Schizosaccharomyces pombe: one gene and its partners. Changing the gene in region 2 together with the main gene of any one other region gives a genetic interaction. Each region holds a gene or a part of one and is shown on either strand. Other genes may lie near its edges. The genes, in order: cut12, hhp1, cdc24 and rec11.

Region 1 (4,174 bases), 1.3 Mb from region 2:
GATTTTGAAGTAGGTTCAAGTAATTGAGCCCTCAGCTTGGCGAGTTTTCCTTTCAACTAAAGGACTAGGTTAGTTTAATTTAGAGTTGATTCTTTATAAGTTGGAACAACATTGTAATATTTGCTATAAAATAAAAGGCATTCCAGTTAGAAATGAATTAAAAAAACTTACCAAACCAAGATGGTACTCCGTCGCCTTATTTTTTTGCGTCCGGCGCATTTCAGCTTCAATCTCTTGAATCTAGCCAATTTAGATTAGTATATAACGGCAGATATTTTTATTTACTTTTTCTAAGACACCCATTTTCCCATTTAATAACCTATCGTAGTGTGGTAATATGAAATTGTTGCTACTTTCAAGTTTTTACTGCGTATGGCCTAAGACAAGATTCAAATGGAGGTTGAGGAGATGGAATTCTTCCAGTCAGCTTACGATCTAAATGTACAGCTGAATGTTTTTCTAGTAAAATACTGCATGAAAAGATGAAATTAAATTACAATATCCACGACTAATACGGCCTTTTACAAGCCTCTTATAATGAATCCATCATTTATACTAAAAATTAGTAATTTGAGTTAATATTAATAATGGACTTATATTTTATTTAATTCTCGAAAGGAATATAGTTAATTTTCAATACTTGATGCACACACCTTTCCTCAACAAAAATAAATGAAACTAAGGCTCCAGTCCTTTACTTAAAAAGGATATGCATTCTAATTATACAATATCGATCTAGTAAAATTATACCTTCAGGAATTCAACTGAAGTTCTTGAAGTTTCAACTTCCTTCGTCTTCTCCTTTCCTCTAATCTTTTCTTTGCATTCGCAGTACGTTGATTTGGACTCTTCAAATCATAATCCACGCGAGAACTAGTTGCAACTTTAACTTGTGGTTTTTCAACATCAGCACTTGTAGTTACGTTCGCTTTTGATTGGTATACTGACGTTGGATTTGTTTTTCCAAGGTTTGAGCTTAAAGAAGATAACACGTTTGGCGTCACTCTTGCTTTTGGCAATTGCTGCAAGGTAGTAGCAGAAGATAAGCTACCACCATCTTGTGGGAAACTAAGTTTCGACGGTAAGTGGGACTTCTTTGCTGCTATTGAAAATGGAGCAGGTGTAGGAGTTTGATTAGACTGCATTAAATTCATACGTACTTTGGAAGCTGCGGAAATAGGAGTTGATGAAATTATTCCTTCAGAAGGTATTAGGTTTGTCGTATGGGACTTTTTTGATGAATGAGTCAGCATTTGAGCTGCCAAATGCGACATATCTGCTCCCCGATGTAAATTCTTGGAAGGAACCTGTTCTTGAGGCTCACGCACATCAGATTGGGATGGCCTAGAAACAACTTTAGTAGTAATCGGACTTGGCTTAGCAGTATAAAGCTCCCTCATTTGGCTAAATCTATTTCCAACGAATTCCTTGCCTTTGTATTTTGACTGTTGTCCTTGATGATTATGGATTTTCTCCGTTTCTAAAGCTCGACAACGTTGTTTCCAAAAATTGATTTCCTCTTGTTTCTCTAAAATTAAGGATTCCAAACGCTCACGGATAGAGGTTAATTCTAACTCAAGATCCGAATGAGCAGAATCTAGCATACTAAACTTTTGCTTCCAGTATTTTCCTGAAGAGGAACGAGGCGCATCAAGGTTTATCGTATAGTCAGGTTCATCCAAGCTCTCAGAGGGAAAAGCTTGGGATGTGTCAATCATAACGTCTTTAATAATTTCCTTCATTTTTCGATTATTGTTCACAACATCTCGAAAGCAATCCTTCATTAAACTTGACCAGTCATTATTATTGTTACTATCCCATTTGAATTTAGAGATCTCGGCATCCATCGAGTGAGGATATTTTTTCTTTGAAGGGACATCTTCGCCTAATCTCTGATTGCTTTTTGTCTCATTTTTATAGGATTCATTGATATTAATATTATAGCGATTATCAAACTCGTCATGCTTACTTTTGTTTTCATTATCCGGATTATTAATATTCGGTTTTGGAGTACTCTGTAACAAAGGGGATTTGAATTCTTCATGACCCATTAAAGGATTCTCATCATCTAATCTCGTAAATAAGAAATTATTTTTCGTTGGACGATTCCACGTCGCAGCATCTTTTGAAATATCTTTGAAATTGACGGTCTTCTTTATTTGTAAAGTACCTGGAGTTTTCAAAATCCCATTTTGTGCTGCTTTACTTTTTAACGGAGTTAATGTCTCAGTTGGGCGCAGGTCTTCTTTTGCGTCTTGCGGAAGTTCTGCATCAGATTCTGCATCCTCAATGTAAGAGGACATTTTTGTAACAGGCTTCGTCACAGTTCCTGCTAATTTACTAGAAAATGCTTTCAAAACCCATGCATATGTTGGCGGAGTGTTCAAAGTTTCTAAATTTTGAGATTAGCTTTGTTTACATAGGAATTCCTTACCTGACATTCTATCGGATCTCTGAATTGTTCTGCATGTAAAAATATAATTAAAAATATAAATAATTTAAACGAATTTAACAAAATTATGTCCAAACAACCCAACTTTAACAATATTTCCCAATTCGGTGGTTTTCAACGTATGGCACAAACACAACAAACTAATAAAGAACCCGATCGCATGTTACATTGGACGTCCTCTCAGTACACTATTTTACACACTGCGTATCGTCATATTTCTTTTAATATGTGAACTCGTTATTGTATGTTAATAAACTTTGTGATATCGTGAACGGTCTTTTCGCTATATGGAGGAGGTAATTGAATAGGAAGTAGAGTATAGCTGCAATGAAATACATTTACTACTACGATTATAAATAATACTTATAGATGGGTAATTGATAAAGGATATTGAGTATTTGTAGATATAGCGCTCATTGCAATAAAAGTCATATGGCAATTTTTGTCTTAACGAGCTTGCGCATCCAAATTCATAGCATTTGAATCAAGGGGGGTCGCAATGGTTGAGCTTCATTTTCGTGAACAAGTTTGTCGTATTTCCACCATAGAAAAAGCACGCATCTATCTACCTGTTTGAAATAGTCAAAGCAAATCTTAGAAACTTTAAACTTTTTACGTAAGATATATGCCTCAATTTACTTTTAAAATCTTTTTAAAAAACAAATAAGGAATTCTTATACGTATCGATCAAAAACCGACTCTATCAAACTTAAACATATTGGGAAATCTAAAGAGTTCATCTACACTAAAAGAAAACAACAGCATACTAAACAGAATACACAACATATAACGAGCAGCAAAAAAGTAGACAAACCATAGAAAGGTTAGCTAAAAACGAAACACACATATTGCCCCTTCAGGGTAAGCAAGATAAATAAACATGCGAATTTTTTCAGGACGAGTCATTTCAACTAATCCAAACTAAAAATTATTCATAAAGAACGATTTAGACCAATGGATGCTGTAAAAGATTTTGCGCTTAAAAAATAGAAAAGACAGTCCATCATAAAACTAAAGGTTTTAATTTCGAAGAAAAGAAGCTGAAATTAAACGGTTGGGTAATAGCAATTTTCAAAAAGTGAGACGACACTCTGTACAGAAAAATCAAGATCTATAATTATTCGACCAACGCTTTACCAATGTAAATAAATAAATCCTCGCCATAAAGTTGTTTGCTGGCGAGGGAATTAATGAAAAAATAACCAACAATCATTAATTGCACTCAAGTCAGAAAATAAACACGGCTTTTAGTTTAATCAGTGGTGCATGCTCTCTTTCGAGAAAAGTAGAAAGAACAAGCCAAATAGTTTTTTAAAACATTGCATCCAAACAGCAACAGCAAGCAAGACCGGTCAATCTAAAAACAGTCGTTAGTAAAGAGAAAAAGGTAAAGCAAAACACAGTTCAACAGGGAACTATTCGAAAGGAACGCCAAAGCAACTTTAATCGACTGACGTAATGACCTAATTCAATAAAGAATACCCCATTCACCTTTCAAAATTAAGAGTGTGCTTCACCGTTCCAATGCAATTTCGACGTCTTCTACGCGCCCATTCTTTATACTTACAGACCACAGCAAAGATCGCCACCAGGATCACTGGCCTGAGGTTGCTGAACATACATAGGTTGCTGAGCAGGATATCCACCTTGAGGATAGCCTTGTGGAGGAGCATAACCTTGTTGAGGATAATTTTGTTGAGGAGGATAATAGTTTGGGCCTCC
Region 2 (4,418 bases):
TGTGGAAAAAAATTACTGGGAATATCATTTCGAATGAACCCCCTCAATTTTCGTAACTCTTCTAACAGAACTTTTTCTGAGGGACAACCCTCAAGCCTCGATAACAACTCAACGCTTTTAGAATAGGCATTCGCCTTTCTGTCCATAGCAGCTTACTTGAATAAAAGATAGAAGAAAGAACCTAACAAAAATATTCGTTCCTAGCCCCTGGTGCACAAGTTTCGTATTTATTTCGATAAACTCTGGTCAAGTGAGTGTATATTATGAATAGGTCATGTGAGTTGAAGCAGAGAGAAATGGTTTTAAAAAAGAAAACGATTAATATATATAATCGATGAAATTAATGAAAATTGATGCTTGCTTAAATTTATCGTTATTGAAACTGGCAATAATAGTTCGTAGTGGTTGGCGGTGAAGTATAGCGGTGATAATGATTTCTTGCCAAACGAAGTGAACTATGAAAACTTGCTGTAGAAGAGAACTACACCAAATAGATAGTAAGTAAAGACAATTTATTTCTATTTCATTTATGCTTGTTGATTTTGAAGTAGGTGTCATCATTCTAAATTCATCTTATTGATAATTCAAAAACTTACAAACAACACCTTTCTAGTTTTTTCAAGTATGTTTACAAACTAAAATGAAAAGCAAAATATTTATTATATTTAGCAAACAGAAGTGTGAACAACATCGAAAGACACTTCATGAAATGAACGCTTCAATAAAACAGTCAAGCACGAGATCATGCACCCAGAACACGAACTAAAACAAACCATTCATCCCTCGAGCATTAAGTCATTGAATTTAAACGCATCTTAAGCATCCTAAGGTTAAACGACGCTGATTAAATGAGTTCAGCTTGGAAAAGACGGTATCTATAAAGAAAAGCAGCAAATAGCTGATAATATATTATTAAAAGTATATGAATGCAATGCCTTCTAATTAGATTAAACCCCAAGGCTCATCACACATAAAAAAGTAACCAATTTGCTTATGGCGTCGTAAAAAAAAGGCTTTAAACCACGCATAATCTGTCACCAGGATTCGTGTTAAGCGAAGATAAAATTATGATCATTTCTGCAGAAAATTCTCTCACTTTTTTCTGTTCCTGGCTCGAAACATATATGATAATGTATGAATAGATTCACAGGTAGTAAAAACAAATACCAAATGTATTATTAGCAAATGTACTAATATTAAAAAATTTTTCACCAAAACTTGCCATAATGAGGATATGATCATGAGGTTAGCATAGAATTTAAGTCAACACAAGATCTTCAGCCAAATAAGCTATGAACCCTCAATAAACTATAAGCAAAGTAACTTTCGCCATCCCAAGGAAAAAGCCCTGCGCTATCAACAAAATTAAAGGACGTCTGGAGGATAAAAGGCAAGTATTGGAAGACTCCAGATGAGAAGAAAATATAAAAATAATGTGCCCATGCTATATAATAATAATATGAAAGGCTAATCAATTAGGTCTGTTGATATATTGAGCTCCGGTTGCAGATGGATCATTTATAACAGGAACGGTTGTATTAATGTCTCCGCCTTTTTCATCAAAGTTTTGTTTTTGATAATTTCTAAATGAAGACCTCTCTGGCGGCGGATTAATAGCTTGAGGAGTTGCAGACAGTTGTTGCTGTAATTGCTGCTGATGTTGTTGGTCTTGTTGAGTCTACAATTTAAATGTTAGTAAATGTGACTATGTAAACTTCATAAAATATCATATTACATTGGTTTTCAATAACTCGGAAACCCAGAAAATAAAAAAAGCACTATTACCAAGATATCTCATACCTTTCTCTTCAAGGTCCAATCAAACATATAGTCAAACTCATAAGATTGCCGACAAAAAAGATCTCGGAAAAGCTTGCGAAGGTAGGCGTAATCAGGTTTGTCATCGAAACGTAAAGATCTCGTGTAATTGAGATAAATTGAGAACTCCTGAGGGAATCCCCGACATAAGACCTCTGTAGGCGTAGAGATCTTCTTCTCCATAATCTTTTCATACTTTTGCTTTTTCGTGGTAGCCTTCAATCCCTGCCAAGGCAGGCTACCACGACAAAAGTAGACGAGCACATAACCTAAAGATTCGAGGTCATCACGGCGGGATTGTTCAATACCTAAATGAGTATTGATGCTAGCATAGCGTGCAGTACCTGTAAGATTCTTGTTCTCGCGATAAGGAATGTGCAGGTGAGTTTTGTGATCACGATACTTCTTAGCCAATCCGAAATCAATTATGTTAACTTGATTTCCTCTTTTACCTATTCCCATTAAAAAGTTATCAGGCTTAATATCACGATGAAGAAAAGATTTTGAATGAATGAATTCAATTCGAGAAATGAGCTGGTCCGCAAGGAGAAGAACTGTTTTCAAAGAAAACTTTCGATTGCAAAAATTAAACAAGTCTTCCAACGAAGGACCCAATAAATCCATCACCATAGCGTTGTAATCACATTCTACACCGAACCAACGAACAAACGGGATTCCGACCCCTCCTGACAAAATGCGATAAACTCTGTATTCATACTCCAATTGAGGGTGTTTAGCACGAGTTGATTCTAGCTTGATAGCGACCTCTTCACCAGAAACGACATTAGTCCCAAGATAAATGTCTCCGAAAGATCCACTGCCAATTTTACGACCAATGCGATACTTGTTCCCAATCCGGAGGTCCAAAGCCATAATAATATTATAACGCTTTTAAGGCTAAAGGCACTCGCTTTTTCTCTCCAATATACTATAGATTGAAATTGAATGATGTGGTTGAGGTAAAAGTAGGGGTTCGAAAAAGTAGAGCAAGTTAGGTAACGTAGAAGTAAAGAACTTAAAGTAAACATAACGAGAGTTAGCATTGCTTTATCAAAATAACGATAATAAATTATAATACAAAAAAAATTCGCTATGCGATTAAATTATAATAGATAGTGAATTTGCGAATATTGATAGTTTACGATGAATGTAAATAAAACATACCTACATACATTCGTACATCCAATATCTATTTTTAGAATGGGAGCGTGATGCTTTTCTTGGTTTCTATTTTATCAATTACCATTTACTGAAAAATGTAAAATGTAAGGTATGGTTTATTAACACTAAGAATAAAAGGCTAATAAAATGTGTCCTTTATAACAGACTCTTCCTTGTAATCTATATACAAAATCTAATAATATTTGAGCCCCAGTAAACGAATGATCTAAAAAGATAGAGAAAATTCGGGTTCTCAGACGAAAATAAAAGCTGTAAGATACACTGTCTTTCCAGTTGAAGCGAAAAAGACCTCCAACCGAATATTGGAGTGCGAAAAAATAAAATGAAAGAACATTTTAAAACAATAAGAAAACCTTTTTCGGAAATTTAATATTGTAGTTCTTTACATAAGAAAAGCGAAAAATGCAAGGCATTTTTCTGTTCTAAATAAGAGTTGACTAATTCTCCATTGAGATTATAAATAATTTGGGTCAGGATTGTGACGACTGAGCGAATAGAATAAAATAAAATAAAATAAACTGACAATGGGCAGGATAAAAGAAAGGGGAAAAACACGCAAAACACTGATCTAACAATATGTACAATGAGCAGTGCGGAATTAAACTTGTAAATGAAAGAGAGTAATGAAATAGAAAGACAAGGCACTTAGAAATCTATAAGACTAACCTTCTTTTTTAGTGGAGAGCCAATTAACGGTTTGTAAGCTAGATACTTCTTTTTGGCAGACTCTAAATGAGTCATCTCTAAATCCGTCGTAATTTTGAAAGACGAAAATAGATCAGCCGTTGGAGATAGCGATATTTGAGAAATGGTTTCTGGATTATTTTCTCGTTGAGCGTCATTGGACATAGATGACTCATTAGAATCACTGCAAGTAATGAGACCAAACTCATAATCATCGGACAAAGTTTGATCCAAGAATGAGTCGGCATTAAAACAATGAGAATCAGGAGACCCATTAACGAATGGTTCTAAATTTTCTGCTTGAGTATCGAAAAAGAAGGCATCAGAAGGGTCCTGAATCATTTGCGTGTCAGTGAAAGGATCAAGAGGATTCAGCAACTCCGAGTCATCAGTCTGTAAACATTTAGTTTGCAGTATATCTTGAGGATCAACTAAGTACATTTCCTCGTCGACTAAATACTTAGATGAGTAACAAGCCAAAACCCATTTAGGAGATACACAAACGATTGGGACTTGAGCAGAACTAATTTTCTTGAGAGTTTCTTGTGAGCAGTCGTAGAGTACTGCGTGAGAAACGGGATTTTCCTCGGTCATTTGTAAAGACGCATGAACAGTTGCGCCCAATAGACGCAATTGTTCAGTAACGATTTCCATTGAAAACATACCTTCTCCGATTTCAACGTAAGCATGGACAGAGCTCAAAGGGAATTTTTGTTCTGTTTCATTAATTTTTG
Region 3 (4,507 bases), on a different chromosome or scaffold from region 2:
GACCTGCTATTTTTGAAGTTTGTCAAAAACTGAAACAATGTAAAATGGAAAGTTCTAATAATGTCGGTTCTACAAAGTTGGCAGCGTTAGTTTTTGCTGAGATTATAGACGCTTTTATAAGTCATATTTCTTATAAAACTATGGTTTTTTCCCTCATTCTTGTATTTGGAAGTCTACTAACATCCAATTACGCCTTTGGTCTTTATAGAGCTAGACATTCTCAAAATATCCACGATTATGCTGCCAACGCTATCCCGGCGATGATACCGTCCAGTAGATTCCTTCCTTCCAATCTTTCTGATATTTCCAATAGAAACCTTATCGAAGCTGCCTCTCAGGAGGAAGAAATTTGAACGTCTTCATTTTTCTACTAACCTCATTTTTCTTAAAATCATTTTTCATCACTTTCATTTATATCATTACTTTGAACGTTATTGGTATGCTTTCTAATTTGGCATACAAATTTCGTTATTCGGATTCATTTTCTTTTATAATTTTGTTAATTTAGCTGTTCATTGTATCGTATTGCTTTGTTTCTCACAAGGGTGAGCCAATTAATATTCTAACTTTGAATTTCTTTTTTGGAAAAATGCATTATTTATAAGCCTTTTAAACTGTAGTATATTAGTAAATTAAGCAAACTAAGCTTTTAAAACGGAGAATGATTGAATGAACTGTACATCTTTTCATTCAAACATTCAATGTTTGATTTTTATTTGTTAGACATAATTATTCAGATAATGGCGATGGCTATTCACACGGCAGAGAGTTTATTTTTTGTATATGGCAGTTGTGTTCTGAGTCCACATAAATATCACACCAATGGAATCCGAGCTTGTACGACTTCAAATCCAGGTATATTGGAAATTCCATTTCTTTTTGGAATAATTCTTTAAAGCCGGAAATCATAGACGCAAAATATGAAACACAATTCGGTCGTAAAGCTGCCCAAAAACTATTCCTTAAACAGTCAATTACCTCCATTTTTGCTGTTAATGGATTTACTTCCGGCAAGACCAAACTGGTATTTAAATCAGATTGGCGGGTTAAATCTATCATTCAATTAGTATTTCGTAAAACAAGCAACCCTTACTCGCTACAAATCCGGTGATCACCAAAGTTAACGGTTGAATTTTTAAATGCCCAGAAACACCTGAAAAAAGGTTGGAGAACTTGCATAAATCATTTCTCAAAAAGTTTGAGGATAACGGGTTCTCCAAGTTTGACACTAAAATAAATCAATATTCAATCCCATAAATTTACCATTTCTTACGAATTTCAGTCGTTGTGTCACTAACGCATGAATAATCACTTAGATTGTCAGAAGAATGATTGATTGGGCTAATGCATAGCAAATCTCCAATATAGGTATCCTTGAAATAATGCTTTTGAGAATTGGAATACAATATCTTCACTCGCTGACCATTGTTATCCAGTACAAGAAAATTTGAATTAACGGCAGCTAAGCGTCCCACTTGCCAGGAGTCGCATTTTTTTTCTTCAAAGTCATTCTCACTTAAAATTACCAAAATACCGATCATTCCATCCTGCCAGTTGGTACTGCCTTCCCAAACGGTACTCCAAAATGGAATAAGTAGGTATTGTTGCTTGTCTAGCAGCTTAGGGAAATCATGGTAAGTCCCTGAGAAATGTATAAAATTGGTATTGTTGTCTATAAGAAAAGCACCTTTTTTGTCTAAAGAAATGATGCGACCCAATTCCACAGTAATTCGTTTCACACCTTGATCACTTTTGCTTATAGTAATATCACGTATTTGAAAGAATTCATGTTCAGTTGATTCAACCATTGATTTCACAAAACTTTTTGATGCAGCATATTGCAATACTGGAACAAAGCTAGTTGTAGGAAGGAAACGTATTTGCTTTCGTAAATACCATTTTTGATGGATGCGTGACTGAGAAAAGCGTAAAGTTGACTAAATAAAGGTCTTAGATAATCACTGTTATAAAGGAGATGATATTCAAAAACCTTACACCTTTCAAAATGTTAAATGGTTCATGGAAGAGTAAATAAAAACTGGAATGCAAAATCATTTCGCACGTATTCTCCTCACTATCTTTCAGCTTCAAAGACGGTATTGGGGTATAATAATAATCATAGCAATGAAAATGAAACTGGTCTTCCAAATAAATAACTGCATCTGATTTCGTTAACCATTCCAAAGAAGAAAAAACTGTTTACAAAAAAGGAGGTCAATATCTCTTTATACCAAAAAAAAAAGTAAACTTTCTCGTTACCATTGTCCAATTTATTTCTCTCCGAGCACTACGTTCATGCATGTCAGATTTTATCGACTTGTAGAGTAAGTAGATTCCTTACCGCTAATTCAATCTCGTTAATTAAAATGGGATAGCTAAACCCTGAGGGATACTCCTTTAACAAGCTGATAGTTTTGTTTATTAACCTAAATTGTCAGTAGCCACTCTTTACATATGCGTTAACTTTTAGCATCTACTCACCAGTAATCAGTGAATGCTGGTTGTTTAGATTTCTCAACTAAGCGGTTTTCTAGATCTTCTTTTATTTTTTTAATCAGACCTGGAAAATCCATATAATCATTAAATTTACTACTGCTCTAAGATTAGTAGTTGATAGAATATAGATAATTGACAGCTGCCTAAATACTCCATTTAGTATCATCTGTTTTTATACTGTTACGCCTAATGATATTGAACAATACTTATAAAATTTTTACAATTTAAAAACTTGTTTGCTGTCATTATTTTTGTTATTTCATATCACAATCGAAATTTTAAGTAAGAAGACACAATAAACAGCATATAACCAAATATAATATTTAATTCATTTAAAACAGATATCTATCCGGTTTTGGGATGCTTGTCAAAAAAGATGAAACATCTAGCAAACAAAAAAGCATATGCTTGTAAAATATTAAAACAAACTTAAAACTACCCATCTAGAGAAGGAATGCACTCGTAAAATTAAATTGTTTTCTTATTATCTTCTACTAAGAAGAACCAACGTGCGATGAACGTAGCCTGGCGGGTTAGTAAACGATTAACGAAATAAGGAATTTACTATATTGACATACCGTTGAGATTGTTCTTGGAGAAGTAAATTCATAATAATAAGGGACAGCACCAGGTACAACAAAATTTTTAATCAATGATGCCTTTTCGGATGATTCTCTATCATTACTGTCGCTAACCGGATTGACATCTCCAGCATGTAATGTCATCATAGGAATAGTGGATTGATTTGTCCACACTAAATTTTGAATAGAACGGGGACACAGAGCAAAAATGCCTTTTACAGAGTTTGGTCGAATGTGTTTTAGACTCTCAAGAGCGACAGACGCACCAGTATCTTCACCTAGGAAAAAAATACGTTCTGGATCTGCATCATAATAGATGGCATTCTCTACTATCCAATCTACACACAAAGATACAAATTCGACGGCATCGGAAAGGGGAAATTTTGGAGGCTGGGCGTAATTGGGAACCACTACGAAGAAGCCTAAAGATGAAAGGTAGGGAATGATAATGCTTTCGGATTTCTTAGCACCACAAACCCAAACAATAACAGAAGATGCGGATGCAGATTTTGGAGGTGAATAAGCGTTTAATAAAAGGTGACTTTTGTAAACGAGACGCTCAGCATTATTTTTGGCTAAAAGCCAGTTAGGAAGATAAGAGATGTATGGGTAGCGTTTGACGGTTGTCCCATGTAAATCATTGATAAATAACCTACTGAAGCATTTTGCAAGTGAGCTATTTTTTTGCTGATCGCGGTTACCGATGCTTGGTTCAAGAGATGCGGGTAATTCAGACTCGAGTTTTCGGGCGGCAAGTACATTAACAGCGGCCAAAGCAAACAAGGATCCAAGGCCAAGCATATCAACAAAAAATATTTTGTCGTAGAAAGAAGAAAATTGGGCACCCATACGCTCAGCAATTATAGTAGCAACGAACTTAACGCTTGCCGCTTCTAAGCTTTTCTCTGAAACAAAAGCAAAAAAAGAAGCAACATTTGATTCAGATGCACCGATGACTATCTTGGACAACAACTTAACCAAAAATTTGCGAACTTCCAGCTGGTATGCTGAAAGAATCACAAAAGATGAAAGTACTACCCAAATAGAATAAAGAATCGTCGCAAACCCCATTACTACATGGAATGATTTTTGTCTCAATACTAAATTGGTTAATATAATGTGTGAAAAATAAAATAATTTCAGTAAATAATCATGTCTGTTTTCGTTCTGATGACTTTCAATTGAAGAAATTACGAAGTCCACATTGGGAGAAAAAGCATAAATACGAACCAACCCTCAAGACCCCTGCACGGTAATCATCGTGTCACTCAGATATCCATTTCTATTTAATTTAGAGATTCATCAAACCAAAAATGATCTGGTACACTATTTTTGAAACATTATGCGCATTTGGTATCATCATCGAGTTGGGCATTAACTCAATAGCACAGCCAAACATAGAACAAAATAACCATTATTATTCAAATATT
Region 4 (5,904 bases), on a different chromosome or scaffold from region 2:
ATTCTGCTTTTTTCTGGACTTCCTCGTTCTGCTTTTGAATGGACAAAATCTTTCCAGCAAACACCTCAGCACTCAACGGCGGCAAGCTAGCAACCTTTCTCTTCAGATTATAATGATGCCAGTCAGACTTCCAATGTATTTTCTGTGATTCTGCATTATTGAAAGCCACAGTACAAGTCGTGCAAGCAAAAGAAGTCGACATTTCGGTATTCTGTCAAGTAATTCAATTCTTAGCCAGTACACTTTTTTATCGAAAAAAAAATTGATATTGAAGCCGAGTCTTTCCTCAAATATATTCTTTGACTCAAACTAACTTAATGAGATGAAGTCAACCCTTTTTTACAATACCTTGCACAAAAAGGTGTTGGTTGAATCCAACTTGCCTACGATCAACTATTGCCTACATAACTTGTAGCACCACCAAATTATTTTAAAGTGTCAAATAATTATCAATTTTATTGAAATCAAATAAAATTAATTGATATGTTAAACATCTTAATGTCTTGTTTTTTTAAACTTAATTTATGCATCCCTCAAAAACATTTTCTATTGCTTAGTAACATAAGGCGTACCTTTTGATTAACCAGTAAGTCCTAAGAAAACTCATATATAGACAAAGGGCTGGAAAGAAAGAAATGGCATGCATTGTAGTTTTAGCGAGCACACGAGCTCCCACTCTTCAGGGTTTAATTAAAATTGAGTATTTGAAATTGAGGTATTTTTGAGTTAGTTTCGTTGGAATAATCATATAGGAAATACATAATAGAGTTTAATGTCTTTTCCTTTTGTTTAATAAGTTTCCTTGCCTCAATAAGAAAGTTAGCACATGTGCTTTCTTATCTCTTTTCCCTCGGGGTTTAATTAGTGTTAAAATTTCGTTTTATGATAAATGGTCAGCTGTTTCTTTTAAACCTTTCACTAAATGACTCAGTGTTCCAGGATCTCTAGCACGATTGGGATACCAATCCTCAAACAGATTATTCCATAATTCCTTCTCCTCAGTATCTTCGGGTGAAAAAAAGTAAGAAGGGTTTCCAGATGATTTCTCTTTAAATTTCATTGACCATGCTTTAAAAGTTTCAATTTGTTCCATGATTTCTTCTTCATTCATCAATTTCAAGTCATCGTCACTAAAATTTATATCCCAATTATTTGCCTTTGATCCAAGAAACAATGTAAGCATCGTAATTGTAATCTGCTTATAGTTAGCATTTTACTCCACTAAATGTGATTGAAATCAACAGTCATAAAAGATAGATAGACAGCAACATTAGAGACTTACGAAAACTTTGCTTAAAAAGGAGTTTCCATTTTTTTGCTTCGCAACCTTAGCTGCTTTTAAAAATATATTTGTAAAAATACAGTTTCTATCTCTCATATCAGAAAGCAGAAGAAGAAATAAAACTTTCAAAGAAGAATAACAGACGATAGGACCGACTTCAAGACTACAAATTTCGCATAATTTTTCTGACAGTTTAATGTTCCAATCATTGACGTCTCGCAGACAGACCATTTCCTTTGCAAAGCATCCAAACTTATTTAAAGCTAAAACCAAGTTTTGCGTTTCACTTGTAAAGTTAGCAATCTAATAACAAAAAGAAAAATCCTTACTCATTGCCATTCAACTGATTTTTTTTGTTTATTTTTTTTCTTTGAATGTATGCATTGAGTTGCTCGTGTAAACTTTCTGCTAAATCATTATATACATTGTCAATGGCAAATAATATATCTTCCTGTACAACTTTGTTGACCGCCAATCGGTGGAAGAATCTGCTGCACAAAATCATCAGGAAGTTAACGGTAGTTGAATTAAATATATCCAGTATTTCTTTATACAACTTTGAAAAGTCCTTATGAAATTCTCTCTTATAAAGAAGCTCGTCAGGAATTTGCTCTACGCATTTTATAAAAAAGTATGATGAAACACAAGATTCTCTGTATTTCTGTAATAGTAATGGAAGGTTTCGTAACATTGCTTGCTGTTGGTTTACGACCTCATCTTCAAGTCTTTTACCTGGCTTCTTCGACTAGAGGTTTAGTAATATGAAGCTTTAAATAACTTACTCTTTTGCTAATATGTGTTGCAAAATAATGGAGATAGATAGAAGAAAATTCTATCACTGCGTTGCTCGGTATACAGGGGTTTAAGACACTGTTAGTATCTTTTGCATCAAAGCGATCATAAAGCAAGAGCTTTGCAACATCCTCCCAACTGGCAAGTAATTGTGAGTTTGTATGAATGGAATGCATGCTTTCCTCAATTAATTGCTGCCTATGATTATTCATATCATATTCTCGTATGAAATCCGCATCATAAAAGTTATTCTCCTGCGACTGATATACAAATTTGTCATCGTCTTTCACACGCGAAAAGATGTGATCGCTGCTATCACGGAACCAAGATTCAAATCCTTGCTCAAGTATGAATAATAACGCATTCATTTTGAATAGGCTTTCAAAGCTGGAAACTAACAATGGGATTTTTTCACGCCTTAAGAGCTTTGATAAGCTGATTGTTGCAGTCTTTGCTTCACAATAATTTGCGTAGCGTTCATTAGTATGGGCAACGAGGATTCGCATTGTCGAGATTCGATTCTGGGGCTTCCCGTCAAATATGCAGCTAGAAACAATATTGATACATTTTCCATTCAACGATATTTTCTCCATCAGTTTCTCGCATGTCTTGAGGGCAACAGATCGAACAGAATCAATATCGTACCGACATATCTCCACAATTCTTAACGAGAATCTGTCAAGAAAATCAACCACAAAATCTTGATCTTTTTCAGGTTCATGAGAAGAAAGATAATCTATTATTTTTAAGGAGATTTTTCGGATTTGTGATTCCTATACGTTCAGTTAGTATTTAAATGATACAGCAGTAGCGATTGTTTATACACTTACTGCATCAGATAACCCCCAGCCAGAATGTCTAATCAAATTTCTGTTTATAAGATAGGTGGGAAGCAATTGGCAACAATCATATAGAGCAGTAACACACACTATACGAATGCTTGCACGTATATCATGAATCCTTGAGAATAGTACACTAGTAAAAAGGTTAGAGTCGTTAAGAAAAGTAGTATTGCCAACCTATCACAAATGTCGTGAATCATGTCAATGAACCTAGATGTTAAGTCTCTCAGTACCAGAATTTCCGCAGTTTGATTTGATTTTTCGGAAAGTTTGTTTACTATAAGGCATAAGCATCGCATGATATCACAGCAAATAGTTGTTGCAGTATGTCTAACAAGCATCCAAGGACTTGTCGTCATGGTAAAAATCCAAGCTTTTGTAGTTTCCATGAATGAGTCTCCGAGGAATGCGTCTTCCACGTAAACTTTACTGATGAATTCGACCAAAAAAAGCTGAAAACGAATACGCACCGTTTTAGCTTCTTTAGAGTTAGAAGTATAAAGATAATCAGTATAAGCGCAAGAAGACTAGCGATATGTATGGTAAGTAAATATTACAAAAAGATGATGCACACACCTTTTGAAAACTTGAACGATTGACCTGAGACAATGTTTCAGGAATTGAATCTACGTCCTGTACATCAAAGTTCGTAACGAAGGGTTGACAACCAGAGGCCTATGAATTAGTTTACGTTTCAAAGGAAGAGTAAACAAAACAGCAAAAGCTAGAAAACGTCGCGGATCATTCCTGCTAAACTTACAACTAATGCGAAATTTATAAAGGTCAGCATGAAGTCAGCGCTATTACTTTTATAGTCTTCAAAATAATGTTGAGAAAGTTGCTCGAGCGGCATATCTATATCCAACAGTTTGACTTTTCGTATGCTTGTTAGAATATATTATCGAAGACTTTTTTTCTCTTATAAGCAAGCAAACTTACGAAAAAATTCTTGTGGAAAGGCATAATCATGAGAATTTACGTGCATCTCTTCATTCGTCTCTATTTCATTATTTTCTTCATTCTCCGTCAAAGAAAATTCATCTTGTGTTCCCCATTTCCGCTTTTTTTCTGAGGGCGAGGCACAAATGCTGACATTCTGTAAACTTGGACCTTCATATTCAACATTTTCAAGCTCCACGCTTTCTAATTCAGTAAGGACTTCATTGAGATGACTGCTTGCATCTGATTCAAATTCGAATCTCATTGAAATCACTCAATTAATTGGTACGATGGTGGTTGGTTATGGCAAAGATTAATCTAACAGAAACGATGGGTTTGTTTACGTGACACGAGTCGCGTCAGTCAGTCATTAATTATTTTGCAGTTCACATACAACCATTGCAATCAAGTATATAATAATTTATTAAAGTTTTACTTTTGAAACATAAAGTAACTAATTTATGAATAAGAACGCGTTTTTACTCGGAATTTCGGGCTTTTCCCTGACCCCTTTTGAGAACCCACCAACTCCTTTTTCTCATTAGTAGTAGCTCGGTATTCCTTTGCAAAGTCCTACTCCAACTTTTGGTTAATACTCTTGTTCGTTGGTTTCATTTGAGATTTTTAGTTCTTGTACTGTTGTAGTACTAATCTTTCTGGTCAATCCAAAAGATTACTTTCCTCGAATCCTTCGTTCAATAGTATCTTCATATATTTGGGTGTAGAGTCATTTTTTCGAATTTTTAGAAGTCGAAAAGCATCTAAATTTTTAAGGATCTTTTCCAAAGAGAAGACTAGGGTTCCTACCTGAGTAAAAGGCAGTTTGAAAACCGACTTTCATCGCATGTCCAAAACTTTCTAAACAAGTGTGTGCTGGTTTACTAATGGACGTTTCGACTCAAACAAGACACGCAACATATTTTCAAGATGAGAATCAGCTACAAAAGGATCACATTTATGTGAAGAAGAAAAGTCACATCAAGTTAAATACGGGTGTTCGTGCACCTTTCAAGGCAGTAGATAACATCAATCAACAAGATGAACCAACATTGATTGAAGGGAATAATGAATCCTCCATCTCTTCGTCCACTGGCGACACTTTTGAAGAGGATTTTGCATACCAGGACAAAGTCGAGATAGAGGAACGGTCAATTCGCTCCACTCCTAAGTCTATTGGAGATGATGATTTGGAAAACCGTGAGGGCAGCTTTGACGCACCTGAAGGAATTCTTACACACGGGAAGCATAGACTACCAACAATTCCCGAGTGGACCAAGGAAGATTTAGCCGCCCTGTCTGAAGCTGCTGCTCGATTACAAGCTAACCCATCGCCTGAGGATATAGAAACTGATCCATCCATGGTACCAGACTATGATCCTGAGATATTTCACTACATGCAATCTTTGGAAAGGAAGCTGGCTCCACCTCCTAATTACATGTCAGTTCAGCAAGAGATTGACTGGGTTACAAGACATATGCTTGTTGATTGGATTGTGCAAGTTCAAATACATTTTCGTTTACTTCCTGAGACATTATTTTTGGCGGTAAACCTTATCGACCGGTTTCTTTCCATAAAAGTCGTATCTTTGCAAAAAGTCCAGTTGGTAGGTTTATCAGCTTTGCTGATTGCCTGTAAGTATGAAGAGATACACCCTCCAAGCATCTACAACTTTGCGCATGTTGTCCAAGGGATCTTCACCGTTGACGAAATCATTAGAGCCGAGCGCTATATGCTGATGCTTTTGGATTTTGACATTAGTTGGCCAGGGCCCATGTCGTTTTTGCGTCGTATAAGTCGAGCTGATTCTTACGATCACGACATTCGCATGCTCGCCAAATATCTTCAAGAAGTAACCTTGATGGATGAAATTTTTATAGGTGCCCATATTAGCTTCATTGCTGCTACTGCCTACTACTTGTCTATGCAGATGTTGGGTCATTTGGATTGGACTCCTTGCCATGTATATTATAGTGGGTACACGGCTCGTCAATTGAAACCGTGTGCCATAATCATTATGGAATGTTTGGTCGATGCCCCTAACCATCACA

The links.
Region 1: of hhp1 (region 2) and cut12, changing one suppresses a phenotype caused by changing the other (phenotypic suppression), as found in Schizosaccharomyces pombe (one study listed by BioGRID).
Region 3: of hhp1 (region 2) and cdc24, extra expression of one rescues a mutant of the other (dosage rescue), as found in Schizosaccharomyces pombe (one study listed by BioGRID).
Region 4: of hhp1 (region 2) and rec11, changing one suppresses a phenotype caused by changing the other (phenotypic suppression), as found in Schizosaccharomyces pombe (one study listed by BioGRID).

Annotation. Positions count from the first base shown.
Region 1 is NC_003423.3:539,550-543,723, reverse strand, and holds cut12 (protein Cut12), read right to left. Parts: upstream 2,569-4,174; 5' UTR 2,442-2,568; coding exon 2,435-2,441; exon of another isoform or gene 2,393-2,434; coding exon 753-2,392; 3' UTR 556-752; downstream 1-555. Other genes in the region: GTP-binding protein Gtp1, read right to left, coding at 1-56, 172-240, 286-303; tail anchored plasma membrane protein Uvi15, read right to left, coding at 3,764-3,809, 4,020-4,174. UniProt on the Schizosaccharomyces pombe protein: Required for bipolar spindle formation. May act as a regulator of the p34cdc2/cyclin B kinase. Required for full activation of the plo1 kinase.
Region 2 is NC_003423.3:1,854,118-1,858,535, forward strand, and holds hhp1 (serine/threonine protein kinase (CK1 family) Hhp1), read right to left. Parts: upstream 2,794-4,418; 5' UTR 2,692-2,793; coding exon 1,801-2,691; intron 1,679-1,800; coding exon 1,472-1,678; 3' UTR 556-1,471; downstream 1-555. Other genes in the region: lvs1 (beige protein 1), read right to left, coding at 1-146; mug176 (BRCT domain protein), read right to left, coding at 3,646-4,418. UniProt on the Schizosaccharomyces pombe protein: Involved in DNA repair. Has a probable role in repairing alkylated DNA and may regulate the activity of protein(s) involved in double strand break repair caused by gamma rays.
Region 3 is NC_003424.3:2,863,215-2,867,721, forward strand, and holds cdc24 (DNA replication protein Cdc24), read right to left. Parts: upstream 2,613-4,507; 5' UTR 2,574-2,612; coding exon 2,482-2,573; exon of another isoform or gene 2,427-2,481; coding exon 2,342-2,426; exon of another isoform or gene 2,288-2,341; coding exon 2,260-2,287; exon of another isoform or gene 2,196-2,259; coding exon 1,996-2,195; intron 1,938-1,995; coding exon 1,274-1,937; intron 1,229-1,273; coding exon 1,094-1,228; intron 1,053-1,093; coding exon 751-1,052; 3' UTR 516-750; downstream 1-515. Other genes in the region: brr6 (nuclear envelope protein Brr6/Brl1), read left to right, coding at 1-353; SPOM_SPAC8F11.08C (esterase/lipase), read right to left, coding at 2,965-3,021, 3,075-4,148. UniProt on the Schizosaccharomyces pombe protein: Has a role in the progression of DNA replication and in the maintenance of genomic integrity. Acts during S phase, after initiation, where it is essential for completion.
Region 4 is NC_003421.2:1,222,806-1,228,709, forward strand, and holds rec11 (meiotic cohesin complex STAG protein Rec11), read right to left. Parts: upstream 4,164-5,904; 5' UTR 4,121-4,163; coding exon 3,856-4,120; exon of another isoform or gene 3,790-3,855; coding exon 3,677-3,789; intron 3,662-3,676; exon of another isoform or gene 3,592-3,661; coding exon 3,493-3,591; exon of another isoform or gene 3,444-3,492; coding exon 3,094-3,443; intron 3,050-3,093; coding exon 2,905-3,049; exon of another isoform or gene 2,848-2,904; coding exon 2,065-2,847; exon of another isoform or gene 2,028-2,064; coding exon 1,612-2,027; intron 1,569-1,611; coding exon 1,283-1,568; intron 1,196-1,282; coding exon 881-1,195; 3' UTR 503-880; downstream 1-502. Other genes in the region: rei1 (ribosome biogenesis protein), read right to left, coding at 1-202; G1/S-specific B-type cyclin Cig1, read left to right, coding at 4,740-5,904.